Linked DNA regions of Caenorhabditis elegans. The protein of the gene in region 1 interacts with the protein of each later gene in a pairwise test. Each region holds a gene or a part of one and is shown in the gene's direction. Other genes may lie near its edges. The genes, in order: rbm-42, inso-1 and F46G10.1.

The links.
Region 2: the proteins of rbm-42 (region 1) and inso-1 interact in a two-hybrid assay, tested with the Caenorhabditis elegans proteins (one large-scale study listed by BioGRID).
Region 3: the proteins of rbm-42 (region 1) and F46G10.1 interact in a two-hybrid assay, tested with the Caenorhabditis elegans proteins (one large-scale study listed by BioGRID).

The regions. Positions count from the first base shown.
Region 1 is NC_003281.10:5,148,680-5,158,467, reverse strand, and holds rbm-42 (RNA-binding protein 42), read left to right. Parts: upstream 1-5,238; 5' UTR 5,239-5,340; coding exon 5,341-5,369; intron 5,370-5,419; coding exon 5,420-5,723; intron 5,724-5,851; coding exon 5,852-6,427; 3' UTR 6,428-6,561; downstream 6,562-9,788. Other genes in the region: putative cytosolic Fe-S cluster assembly factor oxy-4, read left to right, coding at 468-1,278, 2,398-2,503, 2,549-2,936; grwd-1 (Glutamate-rich WD repeat-containing protein 1), read right to left, coding at 3,152-3,687, 3,864-4,314, 4,454-4,611, 4,660-4,753, 4,800-4,922; Y54H5A.2 (Protein HGH1 homolog), read left to right, coding at 8,890-8,948, 8,994-9,252, 9,760-9,788.
Region 2 is NC_003284.9:1,294,920-1,306,153, forward strand, and holds the start of inso-1 (BTB domain-containing protein), read left to right. Parts: upstream 1-5,229; 5' UTR 5,230-5,356; intron 5,357-9,643; 5' UTR 9,644-9,665; coding exon 9,666-9,699; intron 9,700-11,171; coding exon 11,172-11,234. Other genes in the region: dop-4 (Dopamine receptor 4), read left to right, coding at 359-591, 1,236-1,424, 1,638-1,794, 2,184-2,342, 2,392-2,559, 2,654-2,839, 3,000-3,215, 3,494-3,739.
Region 3 is NC_003284.9:13,305,434-13,315,299, reverse strand, and holds F46G10.1 (BTB domain-containing protein), read left to right. Parts: upstream 1-3,544; 5' UTR 3,545-3,573; coding exon 3,574-3,645; intron 3,646-3,725; coding exon 3,726-3,784; intron 3,785-3,828; exon of another isoform or gene 3,829-3,835; coding exon 3,836-3,947; intron 3,948-4,169; coding exon 4,170-4,295; intron 4,296-4,832; coding exon 4,833-5,000; 3' UTR 5,001-5,073; downstream 5,074-9,866. Other genes in the region: srxa-8 (G_PROTEIN_RECEP_F1_2 domain-containing protein), read left to right, coding at 6,455-6,563, 6,611-6,724, 6,779-7,056, 7,415-7,547, 7,597-7,757, 7,815-8,018; srd-43 (Serpentine Receptor, class D (Delta)), read left to right, coding at 9,456-9,740, 9,789-9,866.

The DNA.
Region 1 (9,788 bases):
AATAAATCCAAAACAAGTTATATTAAAGATAATCCAGCGATTTTGAATGTTTAAAATAAATCTATAGTCAAAAATTTCAATCAAAAACTGAACATTTCCAAGATAAAATAAATACATACATACAAACTTCACCTCGAGGAGACATTTTATCTATGCAAATGCCTAATTTAGCTAGTTTTTATTTAAGAAAAAAACGGTACCTGGTCTCGACATGGCCAAATAAATATTCATAAAAACGACGTGCGCCTTTAAGAAGTACGGTAGTTTTTTTGTTCTTGTTTCCTTTTAAAAAATTATTTTTGTGTAACCAGTTTTTCAAAAAATAAGTGAAAGTTGCAAAGAGTGGACACTACTGTACTTTCTGAATGCGCACACACTTTTTCATTAAACATTTTATTTCTGTCGTGTCGAGACCAGAAATTCTTTTATTTTTTGAATATTACTGTAAAATTGTATCAATTTTTCAGGACTGCATAATCCCATTGGAAACGAGAACTGTGGAAAAGAAAAAAGAAGAATCACAAGTGAATATCCGTACCAAAAAACCAAAAGACAAAGAATCTTCTAAAACAGAAGAAAAGAAATCCGTTAAAATCTCGTTAGCTGATTGTCTGGCATGTAGTGGATGTATCACTAGTGCTGAAACAGTTCTTGTTGAAGAACAATCATTTGGACGAGTTTATGAAGGAATTCAAAATTCAAAGCTCTCAGTCGTCACTGTTTCTCCACAAGCCATCACTTCTATTGCTGTGAAAATTGGAAAATCAACAAATGAAGTAGCGAAAATAATTGCCTCATTTTTCCGAAGACTAGGTGTCAAATACGTAATTGATTCATCATTTGCCCGGAAATTTGCACATTCTTTAATATATGAAGAACTTTCAACAACTCCATCAACATCTCGACCACTTCTTTCATCTGCTTGTCCGGGATTTGTGTGCTACGCTGAAAAAAGTCACGGAGAGCTTTTAATCCCTAAAATCAGTAAAATTCGATCACCTCAAGCTATAAGTGGTGCAATTATCAAAGGATTTCTAGCAAAAAGAGAAGGTTTAAGCCCCTGTGATGTATTCCATGCAGCTGTAATGCCATGTTTTGATAAGAAATTAGAGGCATCGAGAGAACAATTTAAAGTTGATGGAACTGATGTTCGAGAGACTGATTGTGTTATAAGTACTGCTGAACTGTTAGAAGAAATTATCAAATTGGAAAACGACGAAGCCGGAGATGTTGAAAATAGATCAGAAGAAGAGCAATGGTTATCGGCTCTTTCTAAAGGTAAATTTGAAAAGAAATAACAATTTCTGTGGTTTTTTTATTTCTTTAAAGTCAGGCTCAAATTCTCCAATTTCGACGCAAATCCTTTGGTTTCCTCAAATTTTTTAGTGAAAAAAACTTTATGTAGAGAATACCAAAAGTTACCAAAAATCTGGAATTTTTCTACAGAATTTAGCACGCCACTGTAGACATAAAAACCTCTTTTTCACTTGAAAATTCGAGAAAAACAAAGAAGCTGCGGCGGATTTGAGAGCTGAAAGACAAAAAAACAACGACTTGTATTTTAACCGATTTTATTCAAAATTAACAGCATTTAGGTCCCCAGTTGATCTCATAATCTTCTGGTCGTGATGGTGGACGAGCTGGTGGGACAACTTTCGAGATTGTCGATTTGAGCTTATCTGAAATGATTTCAATTTTAGAACATCTTCAGCTTATAAAATCTTATTTATACTTACCGGTTTCGGAGCAGCTGCTTTTGGTTTTGTAGCCTTCGCTTTGCACCCAACAGAAACAGTCTGCGCCAATAATATTCTGAAATTGAAAATAATTTCAGTCAAATTCTCAGAAATTAATAAAACTTACATCCCAAAAAAAATCAGGCTTGATCAGTTACACAATCAATTTCTTGAGTGACTGAATTCAAGCTCTTATTCTTGAGGAATAAATTTTAAACTTTTGAATACTCCTTTTCTACGTGTAGATTTTTTTATTTCTCTTCACGTGTTGTAGGACACGTGTTTTCAGCTCGACCATTCGGTGTAATTTGTGCAAACACCGTCACGCGCAAATGCAGACATTTTTGCACGCGCTGTGGTGAAATTCCTCTTGGGGAATTCAAATATTTTTCTCTCGCCGTTTTTGAAAATTTTCGAGGCGTTGGTTCTTTTAAAATCGCGCTACAATGCCTCCGCCTCCCAACCATGGGTCTCGGTAGGTATTGGCGACAAAACCATATTTTCCAACTTGTGGAAAACATTTATTTTACGAGAAATACAACATGAAACTGAACAGAGCAGGAGCTGAAAAACATATCGTAAATTTTCTACAGTAATCTTTAGAAACGAAACAAAATAAAAAAAGATGCCTCCCTTAAAACACAATACTGAAATGTTTCAGGATCTGTTATTGGTGACGATGGTGGTGCTTCTGGAGGATATGCTGATCGAATTGTTCGAGATTTCGTGCTGGAAAATGGAGGAGGAATTGTAAAAACATCAAAACTGTAGGAATAAATAACTTTAAATAATGTAATATTTCATTTTTTCAGAAACAAGAACATGTTCTCCACGACTGTAGAATCCGAAGCTGGAGAAATTCTTTTAAGAGTTGCCAAGGTTTACGGGTTTCGAAATGTGCAGAATCTGGTTCGAAAAATGAAGACGAAAAAGGAGAAGACAGATTACGTGGAAATTATGGCTTGTCCGGGTGGATGTGCAAATGGTGGAGGTCAGATTCGGTACGAGACAATGGATGAGAGAGAAGAGAAATTGATTAAAGTCGAGGCATTATATGAAGATTTACCCAGACAAGATGATGAAGAAACCTGGATAAAAGTTCGAGAGGAATGGGAGAAACTTGATAAAAACTACCGTAATCTTCTGTTTACGGACTATAGGCCCGTTGAGACGAATGTTGCTCAAGTCTTGAAATGGTGAATTTTCTTGTTATATTTTGTGATACATTCCCAGTCCCTAATTTTTTAGATTCTATAGAATAAAATGTTTTTTTTTGTTTTTCAACGAAAACGCGACATTTTTAAAGCATTTTTTGGTTAACAGAAAAGTTACGAAAAAAAATGAACAGTAACAATGTTGAATAGATGAGAAAAACAGCAACAAAAACAAACAGGGAGCAATAACAGGGAGACATCTTAAATATTAATAGTCTTGAAGACATTAAATCCATCAATTGAAGTGTTGATAGCCAATCCAGGAATCTGTTGATGCCAGTGAACTTCTTTGACCTCATTCTGACCCATATGGACGAACATCAGCTGTGGTGGAACTCCTTCGATATTCGTTTGTCCATCTGCTTCAGTTGCAATATCCCAAATTGTTGTCTGATCGTCTTCACCGGAAGCCATAAATGTCGTTGTTTCATGTGGATGCCAGTCGACTGAAGTGATTGGTGAATTGTGATACTTGAAGAGTGCCACTGGTTGACCGAATTGGATTGTTTTCAAAGACCAAATTTTCAGCTCTCCGTCATCACCACCAGAAACAATGAGGTTTTCGTGACGATTCCACGAAATAACATTAACATCGGATTCATGAGCTTTTTGCACTGTACAGACGCAGGCATCTTTTGGAGCAGAACGTGTATCCCATAGTTTGATACTTCCATCCGCGGAACATGAAGCAAGAAGTCCAGTTTCAGTTGGTGACCATGCAAGATCTTCGACACTCTCTGAAAAATATTGGAATATGTACTGAAAAATGCTCAAAAATTTTTATGCGACAAAGACAAGTTTTTAATTCAGATTTTTGTTTTTTTCCAATCTATTCAAGAAAAAACCACTCAAACGCCATTCAGGAGACACATTTCAATTTTTGGAATTTTCAGATCAAAATTAAATAAATTACTTTTATGTCCAGTTAATGGATTAGCTCCAACAGCCCATTGTCCTCCTTCCTTCATTTGCCACAAATAAATCTTTTTGATGATATCACCAGTAGCCAAGTCTCCAGTTTTTAATGAAGACCAAGCAAGTCCATATCCTTCTTTTCCAGATCCATTATTCGTGAACAAGGGTCGATCGATCTTTTGCACTTCAGTCTTCGACTCTCCGCTCATTCCATGAGTATAATTCAATGCATCAGTGATATTCCACACCTGGACACGTCCTTGATCACTCCAGCAAGCACATACAGTACTGTCACCAAGACGATCGGAACGAATTCGGTTAATACCACCATAGTGAGGAATCGAAACAGCGTGCATTTTTGGTTCTCTTTTCTTCTCTTCTTCGGCATCTTCATCTTCGGATTCGTCTTCAGAGGTGTCACTGTCGTCGCCTTTGTTTTCTTTTTCTTTCTGAAATACTCACTTTTATTGTAGAGATATCCTTGTTTTTTTTAGTTTAACAATTGTGTTACTGAGCTTAAAACTAAACGTTGGCCGGAATTTCAATTTCATAACAGGTAAATAATAAAAAAGTTTGAAACCGACTAACCCTCATCGTTGTAAGATTCTTCAATCCCATCACAATGATTTCGTTATCCCTTGGCTTATCGGCTTGAGTTCCACTGACAATATAACATTCGGCAGGGAATTGTGTTCTGTTCTCGCCCAAACCATCTTTAACAACGTCAAACGACAAGCATGGCCAATCTAAATCATAAAATATAAATATTTTAGAAACAATTTCGTTTGAATCACCAGAATTGAAACTATGAAATAGTTTGTAAGCACTAGGGTCAAAATCCAATTCTTCTCCTTTTTTCAATGGCCGGCTGAGGCCTGGAATGTAAGCCTGCAATTTTAACAATTAGAAGTATTGTACGAAATTTCTAGCTCACTTGTCTCTGATTCTCCGGTACTTCCTCGTCTTCATCATCAGTTTCATCAACTTCCTCTTCAGACTCGTCTATATCCTCCACTGGATCCTCATCATGCATTTCAACGTCATTTTCACCGGACATTTTCTGCAGATACAGAATATATCTCTTAAGAAATGTTAGAAAAAGCGGATGAGGTAATATTTGGAACTTCAGAGGGTGTTTTCTTAAATTTTAAAACAATTATGAGCACAAAACTACTAGTAAAGCGTGAAAATTGGGAGGATAAAAAAAATAAATAGGAAAACAGAAAAAATTTTAGAGTACGCAAAAGTGCGTCGTCTCTGGCTTATTTCATGCGGTGTTTGCGTACTCTTAATATTTTTATCAATTTTTTAATGTTTTTCGAAACAAAAGCTATTTTCCTTTTATTTGTATTCATTTATGTGTTAAAGATAATAATATTAAATATTAATATTTTTTGATTTATCTGTCGCAAAGTTTCTGTACTTTCTGACTATATTTAGACTTATTTTCAGCCTGAAACGCTCACCCTTCAACAATGGCCAACTTGGATGATGAACTGGCTTTGTAAGTTGATTCTTCCTATATTTATTATCAAACAAATTATATTATTTTAGATTTGAAAGCGAGTTAGCCGAACTTGAACAAGCGAGTAGCAATTCGGAGGAGCCAGCAAGCTCTCAAACGCATGTTGGCTACGATAATGCAACAATTTCGGCAGGACCAACTACTTCCGAGTCATCAGCAGCTACTTCTAGTGCTCAAGTTATTCAACCATCACTTTTGGCAGCGCCTCCGTTTATTCCGATAGCTGCCACAATTGCAGTTTCTCCATTTATCAACCCGGCACTTGGGAGGCTTCCAACAATGCCTCCAGTTCCACCTTCAATTTTCATGCCTCCACAATTAAGAGCTGCACCGGTTAGTTTTGATTTTCCGTTGACTTAAAAAATATCCTTATTTTATGAATAAAGCCATAAATTTTTGAGAGAAAAGTTAAAAATTGAAGTTATGTGAATATTACTCTCAATTGAATATTAAATTTACAGATAATGTTCCCTCCTCGAGTACTCGGAATTCCGGCTCCTGCAACTATTGAAGGTGCTCCAGCATTATATGAAACACCTGCAGTAAACGCAATTCCACAAGAACTTCTGCGAACTCAAGCTCTTCAATCAGATATTGATAAGATGAATTTCAAAAAGCAAACCGATCCATTTAAGAAGAAAATCAAGGAACAACAAGCGAAAAAGAAGTTTGTGAGATCCGGTGGTGGTCAGGTTTGGGAAGATCCATCTCTTGCCGAATGGGATGAAAATGATTTTCGAGTTTTCTGTGGAGATCTGGGAAATGAAGTGTCGGATGAACTTCTTGCAAAGGCTTTTCGAAAATACCCAAGTTTCCAAAAAGCCAAAGTTGTCAGAGAATCACGAACAAATAAGAGTAAAGGATATGGATTCGTTTCATTCAGAGATTCGGAGGATTATGTGAGAGCTATGCGTGAAATGGACGGAAAATATGTTGGAAATCGACCGATTAAATTGAGAAAATCGGCATGGAAGGAGCGTAATATTGATGTTATCAAGCAAAAGAGAAAGCAAAAGAAAGAACTTGGAATTTTGTAAATCGATTCGTTTTTCTACATTTTTTTCTGTAATTTATTCATTTATACCCCAATACTTTCATTGTACCCCTTATTTTCCTGTCATCGTATTTTTATTCATTTTTCTTTTCAATATATAAAAGTCTGAATTGAGATATTTATCGTTATTTGAGTATCAGGAGCACTGTTGCATGTCCAGTGCAAAATATACCTCTACTGTCATTTTAGAACATTACATTTTTGAGTTTTTTCTTTTCAATTCATATTTAAGAAAGGCTGAAATCTTTTGAAAACTTCAAATTTTGAGGGAACAATACCGTATCCGGTCTCGACACGATACATTTTTGTTAAATTCGAAATGCTGTGCGCCTTTAAAGAGTACTGTAATTAAAAAATTTCGTTGTAGTTCAATTTCTAACGATTCTTTGAAGTTGTTTGATAAAAATATATCTACTAATCAAAAACTTCAGTAAAGCATAAATTTTAACAATAACTAACAAAAAATTCTTGTCGAGACGGAGTACTGTATATTTAGCGCACAAAACGAGAATTTTCGTGTCTGTGTTTCAAAAATGTTCTTCCTGAAATTTAAATGATTTTGGCTGGAAGTTAAGATAGGTAGACATTATATCTAGTATAGGATTTGTCAATTAGATACTTTCAACTAATTTTGTTACAAAAATGAAAAATACTTTCGACCCCTTCATTGGCTAGAACTTTCTATATAAGTATAGTTAGTAGGTGTCTTCATTTAATTCCTGTTTGTATAAATGTAGTACAAGTGGGTGGCTGTGTTGACGAGTATATCAATTGCGTAACGGATACCGACTACTTCACAAAGAGTGCCGATGTCGAAAGTTTGAGCAAGAGATTACGAAGGTGACGGGTCGAGACAGGGTCACACGGTGTCCTTCCGATTGACGGTTGCGCAATTCAACGCATCTTCTGAAGATGAAGATGTTGTTTGGTGACGGCAACAGGTCAATCTGTGCATCCGGATCAGAAGATTTGAAAAAAAGCGGCTTTTTGTACTGAAAGTGTGCTGTCAGTCTGTTGTTTACGATAAATGAGCGAGAACTCTGAATTTACTTGGAATTGGAATTCTAGACTCGTATTCGGATACAATTGTCAAAAAGTCAGATCCTATTCGATAATTCTACACGACCAATTAAAAAGCAATTTAAAATCATAATCTGTGCGATTAACTCATATTTTTCATTCAAACTGAAAATGGTTCCGCTTCGCAACCAAATGCTTCTTTTGATGTTATTACATGAACACATGTTTGATGATATCATGTTGTTTTCTGTTGTGCAATAACAGTCATATCCTTCAAGAGCATGTTGAAAATCATTCGATGCGAAGAATCTCTAGATCTAGATAATAATCCCCTTTAGCTTTTACTAATAAGTAATCCTTTTCCCTATTCTCTTCCGTCAAATTTATAAGCAATTCCTCACCATTTTGTTCACACCTGATACCTCGTTTATTATCAAGTGTAATGCGGTATAAAACACCCATGGTATGGATTGTGTCAGGAAAATGGAAACATCTAATATTTTATGACACGAAGAGGTCTTGGATTAGGAACAGCCGTGTGGACGAAGTGTGGCATGGGGTTTGAAATGTATGGGTTTTCACTGTGAAGCTCCCCTATTGTTTAAACTTATCAAATTTAGATAATTAATATAAAATGAAACTTGATATTTATTCCATCAAGTTTTCAGTTTTATTTGATCAACATTGAAATTTGGGGAGATAAACATCCAAATAGCATTAATCGGTCTTAGCAACCAGATATTCAACTCTGATTATGCAACTTTGTCCACATTATCCGGTGGTCCATTGCTTGTAGATGACGTAACTCTGGACCGTTTGTTTTCCAAAGTAGTGTTGCATCAACAATCACCATGCATATCCCATTGGATTACGGTAGTCAGGAACCCTTTTCTAGTTTTTTTCAATCTGGAGTGTCCGTTCTTTTGTGCACATCAAGTGTGAGATGTACACGAGCCGCAACGTCCGAAAAGCACACTTCAACCTGACTTTTTGTCCCCAATTTCTCACTCTCAACCGCAAAAGACTTACAGTAACCCGCCACCTTACACATTCGCGCACTTTTGAAGTGGCCGACTGTGAGGATTGGCGCTGAAGCTGCAAGATTCGAGATGTTTGTCGGTGAGAAGGACGCGTACCCGGGTGGGCGAATGAGGTATACTGTAAAATAGAATTGAAGTGATTGTTAACTAGACTATGGGTGTGACAAGTTGATTTTGACGTCAAAATTTGTTGCAGTCTAGCAGGGAATTTGAAGTTTAGAGAATTGAGTTCATACTAGAGATAGAAAACTCAAGGGGTTCTAGAAATAAATCAGGCGTTGTGTGAAAAATGTATTTAAAAAGTGATAATCGGAAGAAATATAACATAAATTTAAAAACGAATTGAAATGAAATCCTGAATTTAAAAATAATTATTTATTTCTAGATGACTGACCTGGAAGTAAGCGTCGATGATTTGGTGAAGCTCCTCTCACCGACTATGTCGTAAGAACTGAGGTTATTATTCTTAATTGAAAATTCCAATTCCAGATTAATTGTTCGTCGTAAAACAATGGAAGTTGTCACTCAACTGGGTACACCGCTCGATGGATCTGCTGGAAAATACTTCCAAGCTCAAGATTTTGCTCTGGGAAAAGCGATTTGTCAGTTATGTGAAGCAACTTCTTCGGATCGAACTGAAACTCTGGCAGCTCTCACAAACTTCACTTCTGGTTCCATTGAAGCCGCTGATTTTGTATTGGATAAATCAAAATGTGTGGAAATTGCTTATACTGCAGTTGTTACTAATGTAAGGGAATTTTAAAGTAATATTCAACGCTTTCATAATATTACATAGACGCGTAATTTTGCGTTTTTTGCGCCAAAAATACGGTACCCGGTCTCGCCACGACTTTTCAAAATGCAGAATATGTGCGCCTCAAAAAACTGTAATTTCAAACTTTCGTTTGCTGCGAAAATTTATTCACAAACTTGTTAATATCAGTGTTTAAATATTTTTTTTTTTAAAACAAATTTTTATTCAAAAACGAAGAAAATTCCGCAGAAACGAGATTTTGAAGTAGTGTTTAAAGGTGCGCATCCGTTTGAATTTAAGAAAAAAAATGTCGCTTCGAGACCGGGTACCGTATTTTCTGCGCAAAAATTGTGAAATTTCGTTTCTGGTTAATATAAATACAATAAGAATATAGAGAAAGACTAATATTTTGGATAAAAAGAACGAGTGGTAACCTTATACCATAAGTAGTAGTTGTGTCAAGTACTCGTAATCCCCCGACTTTAAGTGTTTTTCTTTCAGGCCTTGTATTCGTCAGTTGCCTCTCGTCT
Region 2 (11,234 bases), on another chromosome or scaffold:
GCTCAAACGATGCACGTCGTCTTGTTTTCTCTGTTCGAAACTGGAAAAAGAGAAGATTTGAAAACTGAAGAAATAGTCGGAGATGGCTCACATCCTCCTTCTCTCCTCCCACGCCCCTTTACAAAAACCTTTTGCTGTTTAGTATGTTCCATGGGATGGAAACCTGTTGGTTTATCAGTTAAGCGTTCGCACTGACCAATTGTTTGTATTTATTGATATCACCGTGTTTAATTCTCAAATAAAACTGCCCTCCTCCTTTTTTTTTTAATCTTTTATTTTTCAAAACTCTTTTTCCTACTTATTATTCCCTTAATAAACCAATATGCATATCATTTTTCAGCAATTAGCCTACATCAAAATGTTGGCTTACGGGTCTGATCCGAACGCCGAAGACCTCTATATCACAATGACACCGTCCGTCTCAACAGAAAACGACACCACAGTCTGGGCGACAGAGGAGCCGGCGGCAATTGTGTGGAGACATCCCCTATTGGCAATTGCATTGTTTTCCATTTGTCTGCTCACAGTTGCTGGAAATTGTCTGGTTGTGATTGCAGTGTGTACTAAGAAGTATTTAAGGAATCCCACTGGGTGAGTTTGGCACAGGAACTCTGAAATATCATATATTTATGCTCAATTTTAGCCTGTGTGCGCTTTTAAAAAATACAGTAACTTTCTCGCTGCGGAATTCGCAATGTCTTTTCAGAACATTTATTGGCGGAAAGGGTATCATTTATTGGAAATTTGCTGTGCCGAGACCTAATTTTAAAACAAAAATCACAACATTTCGCATTTGGGTAACCCGTTTGTTAAATGAAAATGCATTAAAACTCCTTATTTACCCGAAATTCAGAACTTTATTTTAAATAATTTTGGTGTAGATTATAATTTTCTTTACAATAAAATAATGGTCTCTATAGGTGTGTTTAAATTTTGAACTAACATCTTTAGTTAATAATTCTGTTTTACTCCCGAAAAAGTTGTACGGAAAAGAGATCCGGACAAAAATGTGATCTCGGTTCAGCAATCCAACAAGTAGAAAATAAACCAAAGTCTACTGGGAATTGGGCTGAAACTGATTCTAAATAACTCTGGAATTTGATTTGAATTTTTTTTGGTAAACTACTGAACCCTCTGAATCTGTACATATGTCAACTGAAAATTTAGTATTAGAAAAATGAGCTCTTAAATTTACTACACTTTTTACTCTTTTTAATATCAAACTTAAATTTCAGGTACCTAATTATCTCATTGGCAATAGCAGATCTCATAGTAGGCGTGATAGTGATGCCTATGAATTCATTATTTGAAATTGCAAATCACACGTGGCTTTTTGGCCTGATGATGTGTGATGTGTTCCACGCGATGGACATTCTTGCGTCGACAGCTTCGATATGGAACCTATGCGTCATTAGTCTAGACAGGTATGTGAAAATTCCAAAATGTTAAAAAAATTTGATGAAGCTTTTTTGAAAACCAAAAACTCTGAACTTTGAACCTTTTTCTTGACTTTTTCTTCTCTTTTGTTCAAATCTAATTTCTTCCCCCCCCCCCTCTACTACTACTTTTTTTGTGAGTCATTCAATTTCAAACTGTGCTTTCTTTGACCTTGCACAAACTTTCCGTACTTTTTTCAGATACATGGCCGGTCAGGACCCAATTGGCTATAGAGATAAAGTCTCGAAAAGGAGGATCTTAATGGCTATTCTGAGTGTATGGGTGTTGTCTGCAATTCTATCGTTTCCTGGAATTATTTGGTGGCGGACTAGTTCTCCGCATTTGTATGAAGATCAGGTATGACAATTGGCACTGGCCAAACGGGACTTGTCTAAAATTGGCACTGTCATAGACTATCATCTCACTAATTAGCGCCACAAAATTGACAATTAAGTTGATTAGATAGGGGGATGGTGGTTGGACAAAATTGGTCTGCACTAGAACGTGCCTTGCACTGACCAAACTTAGAAATCGCACTGACCAAACTTAGAAATCGCACTGACCAAACTTAGAAATCGCACTGACCAAACTTAGAAATCGCACTGACGAAACTTATAAATCGCACTGACCAAACTTATAAGTCGCACTGACCAAAAATTCAGAGTTTGAACTGATAAAAATTCAGAGTTTGAACTGATTAAATGCACTTTTAAAATTAAAGAAAAAAACATTTTTCTTTTTTCTAGTCACAATGTCTATTCACGGACAGCAAAATGTATGTGAGCTTCTCTTCATTAGTTTCGTTCTACATCCCGCTCTTCCTCATTCTCTTCGCATATGGAAAGGTCTACATAATTGCGACGCGACATTCAAAAGGCATGCGGATGGGTATCAAAACAGTCAGCGTGAGTAAATAGGAAAATATTTCAGTTTTATAAGTCGTGTTTTGTTCAGATCAAAAAACGGAATGGAAAAAAATCCAACACGGAGACAGAGAGCATCTTGTCCAGTGAGAATGAGCCAACATTGCGGATTCATTTCGGGCGGGGGAAGCAGTCGAGTTCCAGCTTAAGAAATAGCAGGTTTCATGCCAGAGAGTCCACGAGGTTGCTTTTAAAGCAGGTATAAAAACTACTTTGATTTTTCAGTTTAAATGTTCAAAAATTCTAGCGAAATTAGAATTACCTAGTTAGCATCCACAATGTTTCAGTTGCAGGTATCCTGTAAATCATTAAACGATCGTGGCGAGCACAACAATAATAACACGGTGCGGCAGCCATTGCTCCGTGGCACAGAAGGTTGCCATTCCGACTCCATTAGTCGTTCCTCGCAACGTAACTTTCGTGGCAGGAATGTTACGATCGGGAGTAACTGCTCTTCGACTCTTCTGCAAGTTGATCAGGTAAACATAGCGTCTGACTTCTTACTGTTCCAGAATACTGTAACAGGGTTAGTTTTCCTGCCAAAAACAAAAAAAAATCCATAAAACGTGTCAGAAACCATTCACTCAGTCCTCCTCTAATAATGTAAACATTCCATTAAAAATCCCCCAAATTTTCCAGCCGGATCGTATGTCGCTCTCCTCCAACTCCCAAATGGTGATGACATCTCCCTTATCAACGCGTCGAAAATTGAATGTTCGAGAAAAATCGCGCCAAATGATGCGCTACGTCCACGAGCAACGTGCAGCTCGGACACTTTCCATTGTGGTCGGAGCATTTATTCTCTGCTGGACACCATTTTTCGTGTTCACTCCGCTCACCGCGTTCTGTGAAAGTGTAAGTGTAGGATTTGATGACCCGCTAGATGTCGGGCATGCAAATTTATGTTTTGGTAAAAAATTTGAACGGTATTCTAGTGAACGAGAGTTTTTAGTTTTTGAGGGGAAGGCGCCTGGTGAACTTTCCGGTTACTTGCAACTTTTTGAAAAATTTCTGAAAAATGCTTTTATCAGAAATTGACAAAGCCCCTACTATGATAAAACTCGACTCACCATTGCTCCAAAAACCAAAAAAAAGCCCACAAATAGCCGCGGCTAATTAAATTTCCGTTTCAGTGTTTCTCCAACAAAGAGACCATCTTCACATTCGTCACATGGGCCGGTCACCTAAACTCAATGCTCAACCCGCTCATCTACTCGCGCTTCTCGCGAGATTTCAGACGGGCATTCAAGCAAATTCTCACGTGTCAACGCCAGCAAAAGGTGAAAACCGCATTTAAAACGCCACTGTCACTCGTGTTCACTCAACTCATCTCGGTCACCCAAATGTGGGAGCAACCGCCGAATACTTCAATTGAATAGTTTTTATTTTGTATTTTTTATTTTTGATTTTTTTTCAATTTGTAATATGAACAGTTTTTTGGAGTACAGCAGAAGCTCGCTCTGAAAAAAAATTTAAAAATTAGAAATTGGTATTTTGAATTCAGCGTGCCAAGATTATTTAAATTCGAGTTGCTTATAAACTTTATATTTTTTTGAAGTTTCTGAAATACAGTGCAGAAGGCTTATTTGTAGGTACAGAAGTGCCTGCCTGCCTTTTTCAGTAATTTTTATTTTGGAAAATCTTTTAAAATCTTCAAAATCTTCCAGAATGTTTACCTTGTTTCAAAGATCCTGAAAAACATTAAATATGTGCAAAAAAACCACTTGTTCCAAAAGTTTTTCATGAATTTATTTAAAGGTGCCTAAGAATTATCATCGAAAAAAATACGCTCGCAAATTTTTCTCATAATTAACATTTGATCTACCTTTGGAACTTGACTCCGCCGCTAAATTTGTTGCCGTTGTTATTTCGTTGTGGCTGTCTTAACGAAGAGAAAGGAAGAGCCTAGTGAACAAGGTAGATCAAAAATAAATTATGAGAAAAATTTGAACTTTTTGAAAAAAGAAAAAAGCAAAATTTTATCGTATTTTTTCGATAATAGTTAACATTCTGAAAGCCTTTGAAAATTAAAAAAAAGTTTTCACAATCTTCAGCCGCTTTCATCTTCTGAACATAAAAAAAAAACCATAAAAAATCTGCAAAAAGTCATTCTTGGAGCAATGTTACAGACTTTGAAAATGGTGAAAAACTGAGGAATTAGGTAAACGTTTAGGGTCGAACTTCTCATAGTTCAAAGACTTCGTGTACAGTTAATTTTTTTTCTTAACGTGCCGGATAGTTCTCACGGTAGCACAGAAACTAGATGGATTGGTTCATGATACTCAGTCTGGAAACCTATATTGGCTACTATCTCGAAAACCATCACAAAATCGATTTTGCGATGCATATAAGAAATGACCGCAATGAAATTATCTATCTTTATTTGTGATGAATTTTCGATTTTGTACTTCCTGGCCAAGTTATGCACGTTTGTTCGGTGGAGCGCGTTTGCACCCATTTAGCAACTGAACCACCGTGTTCTATTAGGCAGGTGAGCCCGGAATACATACAGAGTTCTGAAGTCAGACCGCTAATTATAATTAACAAGAACAGGTGAAAATGCAAGTACATCCTATAAAGCATGAAAACTATAACAAAAGCTGAGAATTACTTCCTTAGTTTTTGACGATTTTTAGCGAATCTGACAAAATAATATTACAAAAAGGGCCCCCTTCCGATCCAGTGGTTCCAAGTGCCCCCCCCCCCTCCTCCCCAAAAAGGCCATGACGTGACATCTCTAAAAGTGCATATCTTGCGGTTGACTAAACAAAACCCAAGATAAGAAAATTAATTACGCTCTCATTCACAGAGACGTCCATTTAACTGCCTATGAATCATCTTTTCCAGGGCACCGAGATTTTCTTCATTAGCTGAGATTTCCTTTCGGTTCATTATATTGAATTTATTCATCTGATTTGAATTTTCAGTCGGCGTCGTTTCGCCAAAAAATTAGCTAACGAGGTAAAGCAGCTGCTCTGGCCGCGTGCGATTTTCAGGTAAGTTCTTTCAAATTTCAGAAATTTTATCGGATTTTGTTCGCACAACTGGTTTTTGTAAAAAAGTTTTACATATCGATTTTCTTTGGTATCCTTTTGTTGTACATTGTCTACCAATCTGATAGTGAGTAGGTTGAATAAATTTAAAAATAAATTTTAAAGTAATACCTTCAAAAAATTCTTCAAAAAGTTTTATTTATAACTTTGCATATTATGTATGATTTAAATGAATTTTTTCCAATTAAAAAAGTTATATAATCTTAAACTTAGGCTTAGGCTTAGGCTAAGGCTCAGTCTAAAGCTCAGGCTTGGGCTTAAGCGTAGGTTTAGGCTTAGGCTAAAGCCTAGGTCTTGACTTAGGCTTATGCTTTGGCTAAGGCTTTGGCTTAGGCTTAGGCTTAAGCTTGGGCTTAGGCTCAGGCTTAGGCTAGGTTCCCTCCGTTTGTTCTCTGACTAAATTTTTTCCAAAATATTCCAAGTAAACCGGCAATTGTGAGCCAATGAAATTTATTAAAATTGAAGGCACATTTCAATTGTTGTCTCTAAAAAATGAGACTGTAAGGATAGCGTATGGTATATATATCTCACCCACATGGTGTTCTAAGGGCCTTTCGTTTTTATTAGATAATATAATTTTATAAATTGAACATTTTGAGCTTACACGTAAACAACATGAATATTATTAAAAATCTGCAAACATTAGTTTTTGGAGAACTTTTACTTGCCTCAAAAATAGTTGTTAGAAAACCTAAAGTTTCATATTTAATTATTGCCAATCAACAGTGTCAGTATGCAGTTAGAATTAATTTCAAGTCGAATATTTTTTTTGATTTGTCATGTTTTGTCATGTTTCCCTCCAAATGTTGCTCTTTTTCGAAATGTCAATTTCTATCCCCTTCTGCATCTTGCTTTTTTCAATAAATTTCCTTTTTTTCTAGTTCATGATTTGTATGTAAGTTTTTATAGTTTGTTTTTCACTTTGTTTCTGATATATGTAAAGCATGACTATTTGTTACCGGTTTAGATTTATGGAATTTAATTGAACAAATAATAAAAAATTAGGTGAAAAAAGAAAGAAGTATTTTTAGTTGGAATATATTACACTTTGAAAAAATCTAAAAGTTATAAATAGTTGCGGGCTCGAAAAAAAAATTAAGTAATTGAAATTAGGTTCGAAACTAAGGTTACGCATAAAAAACTATAAATTTCACATCTAAAAGGTTTGAAAAATTTACTTCGAAAAAATGTGGAACCTTTTTTTTCCAAATAAATATTCTACTTTTGTCTGAAAACTAAAACTTCAACTTTCTACAAAATTATAATTTGGCTTCTGAAAAAAACTAAACTTTACAGCCTGAAAACTCAAAAGAAACTGCTTTTTTTTTAAATTTAAAAAAAAAAAAGCTTTTCGCCGAATAAAAACTTAAATTTTCTAAAACTTTTCATCACATTTCTGATTTGAAATTATTTTTTCCAAAAAACATGGCAGTTATCTGGTAATTTACGTTTGAAAAGTCTGAAAATGTTTTAACTGAAAAAATTATAGTTTTATATTTTCACTTTAATAAATTTCTAAATAACCGAAAAACTAAAATTCGTAGGTTGGCAAATCCGCGAAAAATTAAAAAGGCACTATATTTCGAATTTTCACGTTTATCACAGAAAAAAAATGTGCAAAGTGTATCAATATTTAAGCAATTCAAATGTTCCGAAAATTTTCATCACTTTTCTGGTTCCGACCTGGTACTGACCGGATATGAAGTATTTTTGGAAATTTTTTCGTTTTTGTCATTTGGAAGTGATCCGCAAAATGATTTAATTCAAACGATGTATCCCGGCAGCAACAGCTCAAAACCTTAGAAATTTCAGATTTTTAAATATGTAGATTTCTTAAAGAGCTAAAATAGTAATCTTCAGTACTAGAGAATTCCTCGAACAAATCCCAAAAAAAATTTAATGAAAAAATGTCAATTGCAATGTAGAACCTCCTAAAGCTATTCCATTATTTTTTTGGAAACATGGGGGGAGAGAGCAAGTGAGAGAAGACGGGGGGAGCACATTCATGCACAAACACACACTCGCACTTGGTTGTTCCTTACCCCCTCACTGTTTCATTTTCTTAAGCCTACATATATACTCTGCGTCTCCCAGCTCTCCCCCAACCGAAGCAGCAGCAGCATCGCCGGGCACCCTATGGCCGTGGACTAGTTCCCCCCATTTCCCGCTTCATATCTCTGCTCGCCCTCTTCCTTCTGTGTGCTCTCTCGGATCCTTACGCAGTAACTGACCATATGGTCAAGTGGTTGGCGGGTGTGCAGTGCTAGTACGATTGTCTTGTCTATTGATTCTTTTTTTTGTCATTCGGAGCTTGGCTGGAATTTTCTGGTTTTTAGGTTTTCAATAACAGCGTTTTATTCTTATGAATTTAAAATTTGCAGTTTTTTCTTTGAATACAACTTTGAAGTTTTCAATTTCACATATATATATATACAATAACTAAAATTATATTTAATTGAGAAAAAATTAAATTTGCTTATTTTTTAATTTACAATATTTCCTGAAAATTGAACTATATACCTATTCCAGTTGAAAAAAAAGCGTAAAATAATATTTTCTTTTTAAAAAAATTCAAACTTTGAAAAATTTATTATAGAGCATTATATTTTGAGTAACAGTATGTAATAATTATTTATAATTTGGTAGCCTGTTAAAACTGATAAAATAAAATAACTTTTAAAAAACCTACTCGAAAAAACATGAAATAATTTTTCCCATTTTTTTTCTACCATTTTGTGGTATTTTTTTCTCGAATTCAATATTGCTGCATCCGTTCCTGTTCAGTTTTTGTTCAATTAATCACACCAAAGCCAATAAATGGGCGGAGTCTAATGAGATAATTTTGTTGAATTTTATTTTAAAATAATAGTCTGGTTTCTATTTCGTAGAATTAAAAATTAATTTTGAGGTTTCAGCGTAAAAAATAACTTGAAATTTTAAAAACCGGAATATTGTGCCAGAAGTGTCCAATATTTAGGCGGAGCCTATTTTAGGGCTGTATTGTTATCCAGAAATTTTTTGAATATTTTTTTTAATGGAACAGATTTTCCTGTAGGCCTTTTTAAAATTTCAAACTATTTTTTGAGCGACTTTGTAGTTTAAAAGTTAAAAAAAGAAACCCACCAACAGCTTGTAGTGAAAGGTTTCTTTTGTATTTATGAGTGCTGGAACTATAATTTTCAAAAATTGTATCAATTTTAAGTCAATTTCCCCCCGAAATTAAAGGTTTAATAAAAGAAAGACTACATTTCAAGTGGACAGTTTTGAGAAATTATTTTTTTAAGTTATGAAAATTAAGAAAAAGTAATCTAATTAGAAATAACATTAATTGAACAAAAATCAGCTGTGAAAATTTTCAAATTCTGTATTTAACCTAAGAGGTATCTTAGAAATTCAATTTGGAGCGTTTGAATACCGTATTTCCTCTATTAGTATTACACCCGACTACTCAACTTTGAAACGGTATATCTCGGTTCATTTTTAAGATATTAATATATTACAAATAACAAATTGATAGAAAAAAAACTAACAAATATTTTGTTAGTTCACAATTTTTGAATAGGACAAACGATAACCGAGATATAAGCTGTCAAAGTTGAACAAATGGGTGTAATACTAATAGAGGAAATACAGTAACTATTAATAATAGGTTCATAGTGTAATTGTTTACCTTTTCTCACATGTCTCATCAGTAATTCAAAAACGTGCTTGAAAAATTATGAGAATGCAAATGCGACCAATTGACAAACTTAGATCCTAGAGCTAGCCACCGCCTATAGCTTCTCTCTGTAATTTTTGCTGACATGTCTAAAATTAAAAAGTTTGAGACAGGAGTTTGTTCATTTCTCATTTTTCACCGACTAATTCCTTCTGAAGCAGACTTATGCTTAAGCCTTTTCAAAACGGAATCTCTGTATATATCCCTTCCCATGTGTTGTCTCCGCTCAACAAAATCATTCTAGGAAGCTCTTCTGTCTGTTTTTATTCCTCGCCCGTTTCTTTTTGTTGGCTGGTTGGGTTTCAGAGGAGACGAAGCCTTGTCTCCGTTTGTTTGCTCATTCCCCCCCCCCCCCTCTCATCCTCAACTCCTCTTCTGGCGGCTCATTCTTCTCTTGTTTGCAACAACTATCGCATTTTCTTCGACGGCTGAAACAGAAAAAAAGCCCCCCGACGACAGCTATTTTGAAACAAATCTCTCATACATTCTTAATGCTTTTTTTTGTTTTTCAGAAAGATTCCGGTCAGGCTGGTGATGGATACGAGGAAGGTGTCGGTATCAAATACAAGTGAGTCTTTTTTTAAAAACATAATAATTCAAAATTGCGAACCCATTGCCGATGTAAAAAAATTTTAAAAAAAAACTCCTTAACACTTGGTGTGCTATGAAAAAGTATGAACCTGCCAATTTCAATAGATGCGAAGCCTAAAGCTGTCGTAGCTATTGCCCAGTCTTCTATTTTTTCTGGAATTTTGAATTTGCTAAATCTTGAAATTCAAGTAGTTTGGTGAATTCTCATGATTTTCCTGACACATAAAAATTGTCAGTATAAGCTATACAAATTTTGTTTTAACTTGGATCAAATTAAAATTTAGACTTTTACCGAGTTTTTTTGACACGCGACACCAAATACAAAATTTCCTAGTCTCCAAGTTTTTGTAATTTTTTATCGGTGTTGTAACTCAAAACCTAAACAAAAAATGTATGTATTTGTGCCCTAAAATGTTTTTTTAAAGTTTCACAAATTAATACGGGACATCTTTTTGTATTTCTAGGCTTGTTAGGACAATTGTTAAATATTATAAAACTGCAATTAGAATTTCAAAAAATTGGTTTACGTGTTTTGAGGTTCAGCTACTATACAAGTACCAAAAATATAACAAAAAATCCAAGTGATGTCAAAAACTTAAAAATTAGTGGGAACTTTGTCATATGCCAATTTTTTAAAAATTGTTCTATTTTGAATTTTGTCGAGCTAAATTGACGAGTCCTTGAATTATAGCAAATAGACAAATGTGCTCAATTTTTGCTAAAAATTTTAATTGTTCAATTATGGCGTAAATCTAATTTCAAAGCTACTGTGTAATCAACAATTTCAAATTAAATTCAAAGTTTAACATTTAAAAACCGCATTCCTTTCCGCTCCTCTGAAACTGAAGCTTCCCAAAAAAAAATAACACCCAAAAAATTTAGCAAATCAAAATTGGAAAAATTAAACAATGCTGGATTTTTCACAACCCTCAACAAAAATTTGTTAATAGGAGCGTAGAAGCCATCAAAATGTTTTAAGACTTTCAGAATCAGCTTGTCAAAAAAATTATCCAAAAACGGCTTTACTTCGGACAAATAACTAAAAGTTTATTTCATCGAGCTAATACGCTATAACTACCCGCTTTTCGTCTCAAAATTTTTTGGTATTTTTGGCTAGCCTGCTGAAAATTTACTGCTAATTTGTTCAGATACAATATTCCAAATTCCATTTTCATCGCGAAAACATTATGTTATTCATCAATTCTCAGTTTCCCGATGGTACTCATTAGTATTCTAAAACTTGAAAAACACGCGAGTTTCTCTCTTGATAGCTAATAAGAATTCTCCAGAGATTTAATTTTCTGTTTTCGAACAAAAAAAAAATTACACAAAAAAACCGCCTCACTATAGCAACCAACATCGCTCAGTTTCATACTCTAGGCACCGCCCACTGTGTGGCAGAGCTGTGAGAGCCCCTCAAATCACCCCTCATTCTTACTCAATTTCCAGCTTCACCACGACAATCTTCTGACACTGAGATGAGCTCCTCATGCGCCACCTCAACAGCTTCAG
Region 3 (9,866 bases), on another chromosome or scaffold:
ATGAAAAACAGATGCGTTAAAGAATGCGCCCATTTTTGTTAATGAATGAGTCATATGTCATATGTCAATTTGGCAAACGGTACTATTTTTGACAAATTGTCAGTTGATTTGAGATATAGAAGGCCGGTTTGAACAGATTCTATGACAGGCAAAAACCAAAAACAAAAAAAAAACATACTAGGGAATATGTTTTATTGGAATTTTGAAAACACTATGTATGGATTTATTGGAATTGTTATTATAATAGCAATAATAACAGTAACAAAACTTAATTAACTAGCTTGGCTAATTAAGCAGAAATGTACTTGCAGCGTTTGTTATCAGAATGCCAATTGTTAGCAATTTATTTGAATGAAACTTCCGGTGTCATCTGACACGAGCATGTGAAAAATGAATGACCCAGTTGGCAAAAAAATTTTGTCTAACTTTTGTCCATATGAATTTCAATGTGACAAGACGTTTTACACATTTATATTACTCAAAGTGATCATAATTTTTAGATAAAGTTTCAATTTTTAATACAAATTCAAATTGGTAGAATTGGTAGAAAACTCAGAAACGTTTGAAATGTTCTGCTAAATTTTTTGTCATTTTTCAACATGCTTTCGGATTCCTTAAATTAAAATGTTGTTGTGACATAAAACGTGTGGCATCTAGCATGAATGTTTCCCCTGGTTTGTTTTTCCAAAAAACAAAAAAAAAACACAATCTCATTTATATTTTAACGATTTAATAATCGATTCAAAGTCCACCAAAAAATTGACATGACTTTTATCCATTTAAATATGCCTGATAGGAACAATTCTCAACAAGAATTATTGAAATCTGAATTTCTTGCTGGAAATTTCGGAAATAATTGTTTCTCAGTAGAAAATGTTTCCTTTCCATTCTATCCAACACCAATAAATCAACAAACAGTGAAAGAAGCAATGCAATGAAATAAAATGACTATGAAGAAACAATTGCGTGTGGCGCGTTTACAGTGCCTTCGGAAAGATACTTAGAAGAGAGTGCGGGAACATATTGCAAGAATTGAGGGGAATTGAAAGAATCAGGAAGCAAATCTCATTAAGCATACGCCCAGATAATGCATAATGGTGGCTTGGGTTCCAGGCAGTTATAGGAAAAGTAGGCAAAGCTCTTGAAGAGAGAAGTGAAAAAAATTATCTGTGCAATTCTCAATGGTAATTGCAAAAAATAAAAATGTCATTAATAAGGCAGGTTTGTAAAAAACAATGTTACTACTTGCAAAATATTTCCACCGATGCAGAATTGAAATGTTGTCATTTTTAGTATCGACACCATGAAAGTTGAATTTTGCTAACATCTCAAATTATGTCAATTTTTCGTTATCCCAATCTTTCATCTTTATAATTTATTTTGGTCCCCTAGTTATCTAAAATTGATTTATGAATAACTGAATAACCCTAGATTGACATGAAAACGCATACTAAACTGATAGAAATTGCATTATTTTTTTTTTGAAACTTTTACACTTCCCGGTTCATCCGTTTGTTGGTGGTATAATTTCTGTTTAAAAAAACACTTTAAAAGTTTTTTTCGAATTTTTATGGAGTGAATATCTTTTAAAAGTAGTGCAAACTTTGTTTAAATGGACTCCAGCAACAAAAAGTAAAAGGCGAATGGACACTGAAGTAAGTTAATTATCGTTTTAGTTTCGGTTTTTGAAATGGCTTCTTTCAGAAAAAAAAAACGCACTCATATCCTAAAAAGTGTTTTTCATAATAAACAAAAATTATAGTTTCTTCTGTTTTTTTAAATATAAATGTCACTCTAAAATTTTAACAAATTGTTCAGGCAGTTAAAGGAGGACTAACGGTTCGGACGATTTTGAACGTATCGACCCAAAATGGGCCCAAATGAACGAATTTTGTAATGAAATTGCTCAAAAAATTTTCAAAAATGTTTTATGGCGGTTCAAAATTTCGAAAAAATGACACTGATTTTAGCCAAAATCTCGAATTTTGCCCATTTTTCCGTGTCACATCTGTCCGAAATTGCTTTTATCATCCTTTATTGCAAAAATCATCAAAATTGGTTAGCTATCGGCTTTAAATGTACCTTAATCAAGGAAATTAAATGAGATAAACTACCAATATATGCAATAAAGGGTGATAATTCCAAAAAAGCAATTTCGGACAGATGTGACACGGAAAAATGGGCAAAATTAGAGATTTTAGCTAAAATCAGCGTCATTTTTTCGAAATTTTGAACCGCCATAAAAAATTTATGAAAATTGTTTGAGCAGTTTCATTACGAAATTCGTTCATTTGGGCCCATTTTTGGCTTATACGTTCAAAATCGTCCGAACCGTTAGTCCTCCTTTAAACATAATTTCGAAATCAAATATTATTTTTGAAAAACATGAAAATGCCAATCAAAATCTCATATTGTTTCGTTTGGTGTACGGTAACTTTTATTTTTGTTGTTTCAATTTAGCAGCCTTGTTTTAATCAAGAAAATAACTCATGAAAACGTGAAATTAGTTATTCGCACTTCTCGTGCGAGATTAAACAAGTGACATTTTTGCAAATAAAAAATTATTTTCGAGATTAGATTTTCGGCCAGAAAAGTTTTACGGCGGTATAAAACATAATTTGATAGTGCTGCAGCCGCACATATTGTGAAGAAAATAACAAAAAAAAAACAAAATAATTGCCAGTGAAATATCAATTATAATTGACTTTCATTTGACTTTATGATCTGGAACATCTTGTTATCGTCATTGAGCTGCAAGCTACTCCTGAACAACTTTCGTAGTTCTGAAATTGCAGGATAAATTTTTTTTCAGTGAACATACATAGCAGACTGAGCTGTTGGCACGAAAACCGGCAACTGTCGATTTTTTTCCTACCGCTTGTTCAAAAACTGTGAAAAAAACAAAACTTTAAAAACAGAATGGCGCCAGTTAGAATAAGCATACAAGTGCAAAAATTACTATTCAAAAAATGAAAGGTTGTGTTATTTTGAGAGTAGTCAAGTGGTGAATGAATACTTCAATTAAATTTTGAAATTATACGCAAATCATGCGACGGCACTGACCAATCAGCGTTACGTAAAGGAGACGACATACTTCGGTGATTGGTTGGCGGTTTCCTGAATAACACGTGTTTCAAAATTACATTGACATATTTACGGTTTGTCCAAATTCGTAAAATTGGCACTCTTGATCATATTTCTTTGCCTGTTTTTTTTGGCATTTTTCAGAGCGAGCTTCAAAAAAAACTATTCAAATTTTGCCACGCTTTTAATATTATTCACTTTTTCATTTAAATTTTAGATCAATTATAAATGGTTATTATTGAGTGATAACAATATACTTTTTCTAAACACGAATAAGATTTTTTTTTCGAAAATAGGTACCTTTATATGTTTCAAAAGTGTTGAATCACACGTGTTGCCAATCTGAAAATGGGATGGTATCTTCTTATTGACACAAGGTGAATTCAAAAATTTTCCTAACGTCACTGATAACACAACCGACCATTGAGTTTTATTACCTCGATTTTCACTTGCTCGCGTTTTTCACAGGACACGCAGGTTTGACTAATAATGCTAGCTAGAGCTTCTCTTCATTCAAATGGTGTGGATATGCATACCGCTGAGTATGCTGATTATAAAAAGGTGGGTCTTGAAATTGATTCAATTTTCTAATAAATTGTACAGCTAATGAGAAAATTGGAGTATTATAAAACTATGTTTAGGCTGAAGTCACATCTCATCATGCTCGAGACATAGTGCATATTAACGCAGGCGGCACAAGGTTAGTTGGGAATTGAGAACATGAGATCTGAGAATTTAACGAAGGCTTCAGATTTACTACACTTTACGACACTTTGGCACAGTCAAAGTCGTCATATTTCCTCAACTTTATCCGCATCGACCGCACCAGTGGAAAAATTGTGCTTCTTCAACAGAGAACTATTGTGGGTGACAATCTAGAAATAAATATACATACTAATGAGGATGCAGAATTTTTTAATTGGAGACTATTAGGTTATCTAGAAGCTAGCTGAAAGCCTAAATCCTACTGAAAAAACTTCCAACAATTTTTACTTGTGCTTTTTTCAGAATTATTTTTCTGAATTTCAAGAGAATGCTTTTAATCCTCATAGCTCTCTCTAAAAAAATTTCAATACAAATTTCAGCGTGATGAGTCAGGAGCAATCTTCGTGAACCGGGACGGGCGTCTGTTTGCATTCGTTCTGCAATTTATGAGAGACGGAAAGAACACTGTCCTGCCAAAAGATAAAGACGTGTTAGCACAGCTCAAAGTAGGTGTTTCATGTTTAATTTCATCGCCTTCTTAACCATGCGTTGTCATTGATAAGCACAGTTGCTTGTTTACTAGAGGTACACCGAGGTGTGCCTTGTGTTTTATGGGTATTTATGTGTTGGCGATTGTGTGTCACGAATATTGGTATACCTAATCAATTGGCATGGGTAGAGAAAATTAAGTTATACAATTTAGTCATGTGCAGTTACTATTTTATGATATTGTTAAGGAAAAACAATATGTTTTGAAAAATTGTTTTTTCCAGGAAATATCATTCAAAAATTAATTCAAAGTGCAATATGGAAAAAAAACCAACAAATACAAGATTAACACTAATGTCAACTATGTCAACAATCATAAAAAATAGAAACTATGAGATTTATGCAAAAAATGTGTAGCATACATAAGTGTGTATATTAAATGAATCTTGAAACACCAAATCAATTTATTGAAAACAATCACAACTTTTAATTTGAAAATAACTCCAATGATGTATGAATTGACAATACATATAAACTTCCCTTATTTTTTCCAGCGAGAAGCAGACTTCTTTGGCATGGAGGTATTCAAGTACCTAATTCAAGAGACACTTGTTGACATTGAAAAGGAACAACGTGCCAACACCAATGATATTGTGGATATTCGCAATTCGGTGAACCAAATTGCGAACAACACGTACTACAATAATGGAGGACGCATTTGAAGTTTACTTCCTCTTTCTGAATAACTTTGTTAATGACCATGAAATAACGGAAATAAAGTGCAAAATTGTGTGTACTTCTGAACGAACTTGTTGAATTTGGTGTTCGTTGAAAATTGACTTGGGGGATGGAGTAATCATATTCAAATTATTTTTAGTGATCCTTGTGAGAACATTTGAAACCAAAAAGATGTGCTTAAAATTCTGAACACTTTTAAATTAAGAAAAATCGGTAGAATCGAGTTATCGAAAATCAAAACGTCTTACTAAACTTCAATTACATTAGCCATAAAAAACTATAGAAAATATCGATTTTCAAAAACTAAATTATATTCAATCTTTTACAGATTTCTGAAAACCAAGTCAAAACTGATAAAAGATACAACTCGGAAAATTGCTCTAAATCAGCAATGTGGAGAAAAATATTTCGTTTAATATTTTTGATTGGGGGGGGGGACTTTATTGGTTGTCCTGAATCTCTCTCGAAAGTTAGTTTCCTCGCATAAATTAGTCTTGCGCTCTTAATTAGCATTGTTTCTGAGCAATTTTTTGTGTCTTGAAGCCTGCGTCGCTGCAGTTGCAACTGAAAACTAATACAGATGTTTTCGTGTACTGTTTATTTTTTGCCTGCAGTTAAAATAGATCTATTTACTTGTTTTGTGCAGACTTAAAAAAGTAACAATGTTCTGTTCAGTGTGCTCAATAGGTAAACAACTTTTTTTGAAAGTTTGTTGAAAGATACTTAAAAAATTCGAGCTCCATGTGAACATGCGCTATGAAACGTTATCTTGCCATGAATTAATCGTTATTATTATTAAAAATTCTTTTGATTTTTTTAAACTTTTGAAAACTATTAAAAATACATAAACATTTGCAAATATTTTGCAATAAAACTCTTTAAGACTTAAGTTTCTACGACTGCAGTTAAAACTATTTACAACGAAATATTTACAAGATGTGACCCGGAACCCGGAACATTTTGCCACGTTTAATATCAAAGCACGATCATTGAGCACCATGTTGACCAGCATGGTACGTGTAATATTTTTACACGCTTCGTTGGAGACAAATTACATGATGAAGTTTATTTATTTTGATAATCAACCAGTCGGATAATTTCGAAAATATACGATTTTGATCTAAACCCAAATTTTTCAGAATGTGCGCAAGTTCAGTTTCAGAGGTTCCGTTCTACTTCCCTGTACATTTTTTTTTCTGCGAATCACACTATTATATCTAACTCATAAAACCCTTTATTTAGTGGGCGCTTTTGCGAATAGGAGAAATTGTTCTCAGAATCCAATAGTTTCGAACACATTTTTATCACTGTCACGCAATTCAGCATGATTCAATTTCTGTCACGTTTTTCTCGCATTTCAGTCTATATCCCTTTTCAGCAGTTGTGACTCTACATTCTCTCCTAATCGAATTTGAAGCGTTCAACAATTTTCGATAAAATGACACCGAAGTATCAACTGTTTTTAATTTTTATGATAATACTTCAAACAATGTGCATGCTTTACAACATTGTGCTCCTCACAGCAACAATAATAAATCGTCGGAACGGTAGTTTTTGAATTTTAGGAGTCAATTACATTCAATTAATTTTTAAGCTGCACTCCCACTGGCCTATATTGTTTTAATGAGCATTCCCGGAATTCTAATTACAGTTTTCCTTAATGTTAATGTAGCTGCTTTTGCCTTCCTTACTGAGGAAGAATATGAAAGTGAGTTGCCTGTGGAGAGTTCTGAAAACATATTCGAACATTTGACGTTTCTAGACTATCTGACAGCATTTGGTGCTCAATTTAGTCTTGGAGCCACATTTTCGTATTTCCATTCTCTTTGCATTTCTGTGCTAATGACAGTCAATCGATTGGCTATTATACTCAACCCATTCTCTGAGATGTTCACACAACGACGACTTTTCGGATATGCTGCCGTTATTGCAATTGTAGTGCTCATATCATTACTTATTCCATACTTTACACCGTGTCGTATTATTTTCATGTTGAATCATTTGTCATTTATATCTGCGTGTGACCCAGAACGACATCCGGTTAGTCAAAATCTGAGCATTGTAATCATTTTTGTTCGAATTCCGTCAAAGGAGATCAAATGTTTACTGCCTTAAAAAATGTTACATTAAATTTCAATTCAACGTGCCAAGTGCGTGTCGCGTTTGAATATGCCAAAAGAATGGGCCGAACCGGGGATTGAACCCGGGACCTCTCGCACCCAAAGCGAGAATCATACCACTAGACCATTCGGCCATGGGAAAGCTTTTCCTTCCGAAAAGAGAAACGATTAGACACTTGCTTCTCTTTTTGGGGGAAGAGAACAATGAATAGCGCCAGTGTTTGCTTTTGAGAGAAAGCAGTTCTCATGAAAAAAGGAGAAACTTCCTAAGATTGCAGATCACAGTTTTCCAAAACCAATATGCTATTCTACTTCCATTTACATGTATGTTTGTCAACTTGGCTATTATCTTGCATCTGCGTTTCGCACGGAATGACACATACGTAAAATTTAAAAAGTTCTTTACCAAAAGTAAGTGAAAGTTTTGTTTAAAAAAAATTTTCTACCTAATTAAATTAAGATCATCACATCAGCGCCGTTCCAACTGTCAAGGCTGCAGAACAGAGCAACTTGTCGAAAATTCAAGCTCGCAGAGACCTGATCATGATGAGGCAAACAGTGGCAATTGCTGTTTATTTGTCTATTTATGAACTTGGAGCGTTTATCACAAAATGTTTTCCGGTAAGAAGTCTAGTCTAACATATGTTTTAATATGCTGCAACGGTACATTATTTTTAGACTGTTTTCGCTAGTTTACCTGAAGTTGTGAGAGAAGGATACTTTTACTTCCGCTTGGAGTCGATTCCGATGATGAATTTTTTCATCTACTATCTAGAAACACCAAGTACCCGAAGGATGATTCGTCGGTTTTTGAATCTGAAAAATAATAATGACAGCACGGCTCAAAATGCAACAGTCTTCACAGTTGCTCAACGTCGCTGACCAGAAATATGTCTTAATTCCAACAATTTTTTTTAAATTTATTATTCACATTAACACTATTGAAAAATTCCTAAAATTTTCTAAAAATAACTATATACTTTTTTAAATCCATATAAATTGTTTTCAATTTTCTATTCAACCAACTATGTATACAAACAAAGTATTCAAAAAACGTAGGTCCTAGCCGGGTTCGAACCGGCGATCTTCTGCGTGTAAAGCAGACGTGATAACCACTACACCATAGGACCACATGTCAGTATTCAAACTAGTTGCCTGCTATATGCGAAGAGGGTAGTAGAGATGTGAGACAATGCTGACGGGGAGACACGAGAGATGAGTACGGAGAAGAAATTGAGGAGGAACTTTGCAGAGCATGGGAACATTGTACATCGATGAAGTACGTTCGATGCACAATAACAAGCTCTTCAATAAAACTACGGAAATTTGGAAGTTAGGAGTCAAATTTTTTAAAATATAAAACTAAAAATTGGAGTGTGGACATAATGAGAGCATTTTCAGAATACTCTATAAAGACGAAAAACGAAGATTTTGCAACAATTCATAACACATTCGATGCACAATAACAAGCTCTTCAATAAAACTATAGAAATTTGAAAAGTTAGGAGTCAAATTTGTTTTAAATTATAAAACTTAAAAAATTGGAGAAAAAAAAAGAAAATAGTGACTCTGGCCGTTCACCAAAATTAGTGACTCTGGCCGTTCACCAAAAATAAATAAAAAAAATGTTACACGAAAAAATAAAATGTCAGACGAAAAATAAAATGTTAGACGCAAAAAAAAGTTAGACGAAAAAATGAAATGTTAGACGAAAAAAGTAAAATGTTAGACGAAAAATGAAATGTTAGAAATAAAATTTTTAGCCTAACGTTTTACTTTTTTCGTCTAACATTCCAATAATTTGAAAACAATGTTTTAGGTGCGAACTCCATAGTTGAAAAACCAAAAAAATGTTTATCATGGAACCTGTAAAATAACTTGAGCACTATAGCTTGAGCATCTGTAAATTAGCTTGAGCACCTTTGAAATAGCTCGAGCACTATAGCTTGAGCACCAGTAAGTTCGCTTGAGCACGGTCTGCCTCCTGAAGGGTTTTTAGCATAATGTTTAGTTACATGTTTTTCTAAAAAAATAAAATAATTTGAAACCATTTCGGTAAGTATTCAGAAACGTTTACTCTGTGGTTATTTCAAAAAGTTATTATTACTATTTTCAGAATTGTTGCACAATCTGATAAAGTGCAAACTTTTAAATGTTTTTTGATCATTCAGTTTTTCCATGCTTGATTACGTAACAATACCGATGAGTAATTGTCTCCCGAGACTTGTAATTTGAGATAAAGTCTAATTTTCTTTGCTCAATTCATTTCCGTAATCATAAAGCAAAATTCTTTGTCATCTATATTAGTTTTTAAAAAACATGTATCGTGAAATTTTAACAGTTTTCGATCCACTTGTTTTTATTGTCAGTTTATGTTTTCAATCAACACTTATCTATACAATTATTCGTCATTCCCCAAAAAACATATCAACGCTAAAATCGATTCTACTCATAAATAGCTGTTTCCAATTAGTTCAATCGTCAATGGCATTTTTCTCCCAAGTGCGGTATGTCAGTAATCTTGTTCCATTGGAATTGTGGAGCTATGGACCATGTCGTCACTTTGAAGCGTTTATTTGTTATTCCACGTTTCATGTTCTTCAGGTATTGTTCCTTTGGAAGATTATTACGCATTAGCCTTCTTTTTTTCAGACAAGTTCTTTGATAAGTGCGCTGACAGTTTTCTTAACAACTTTCATGAAATACCAAGCAGCAAAACATGTACATCTT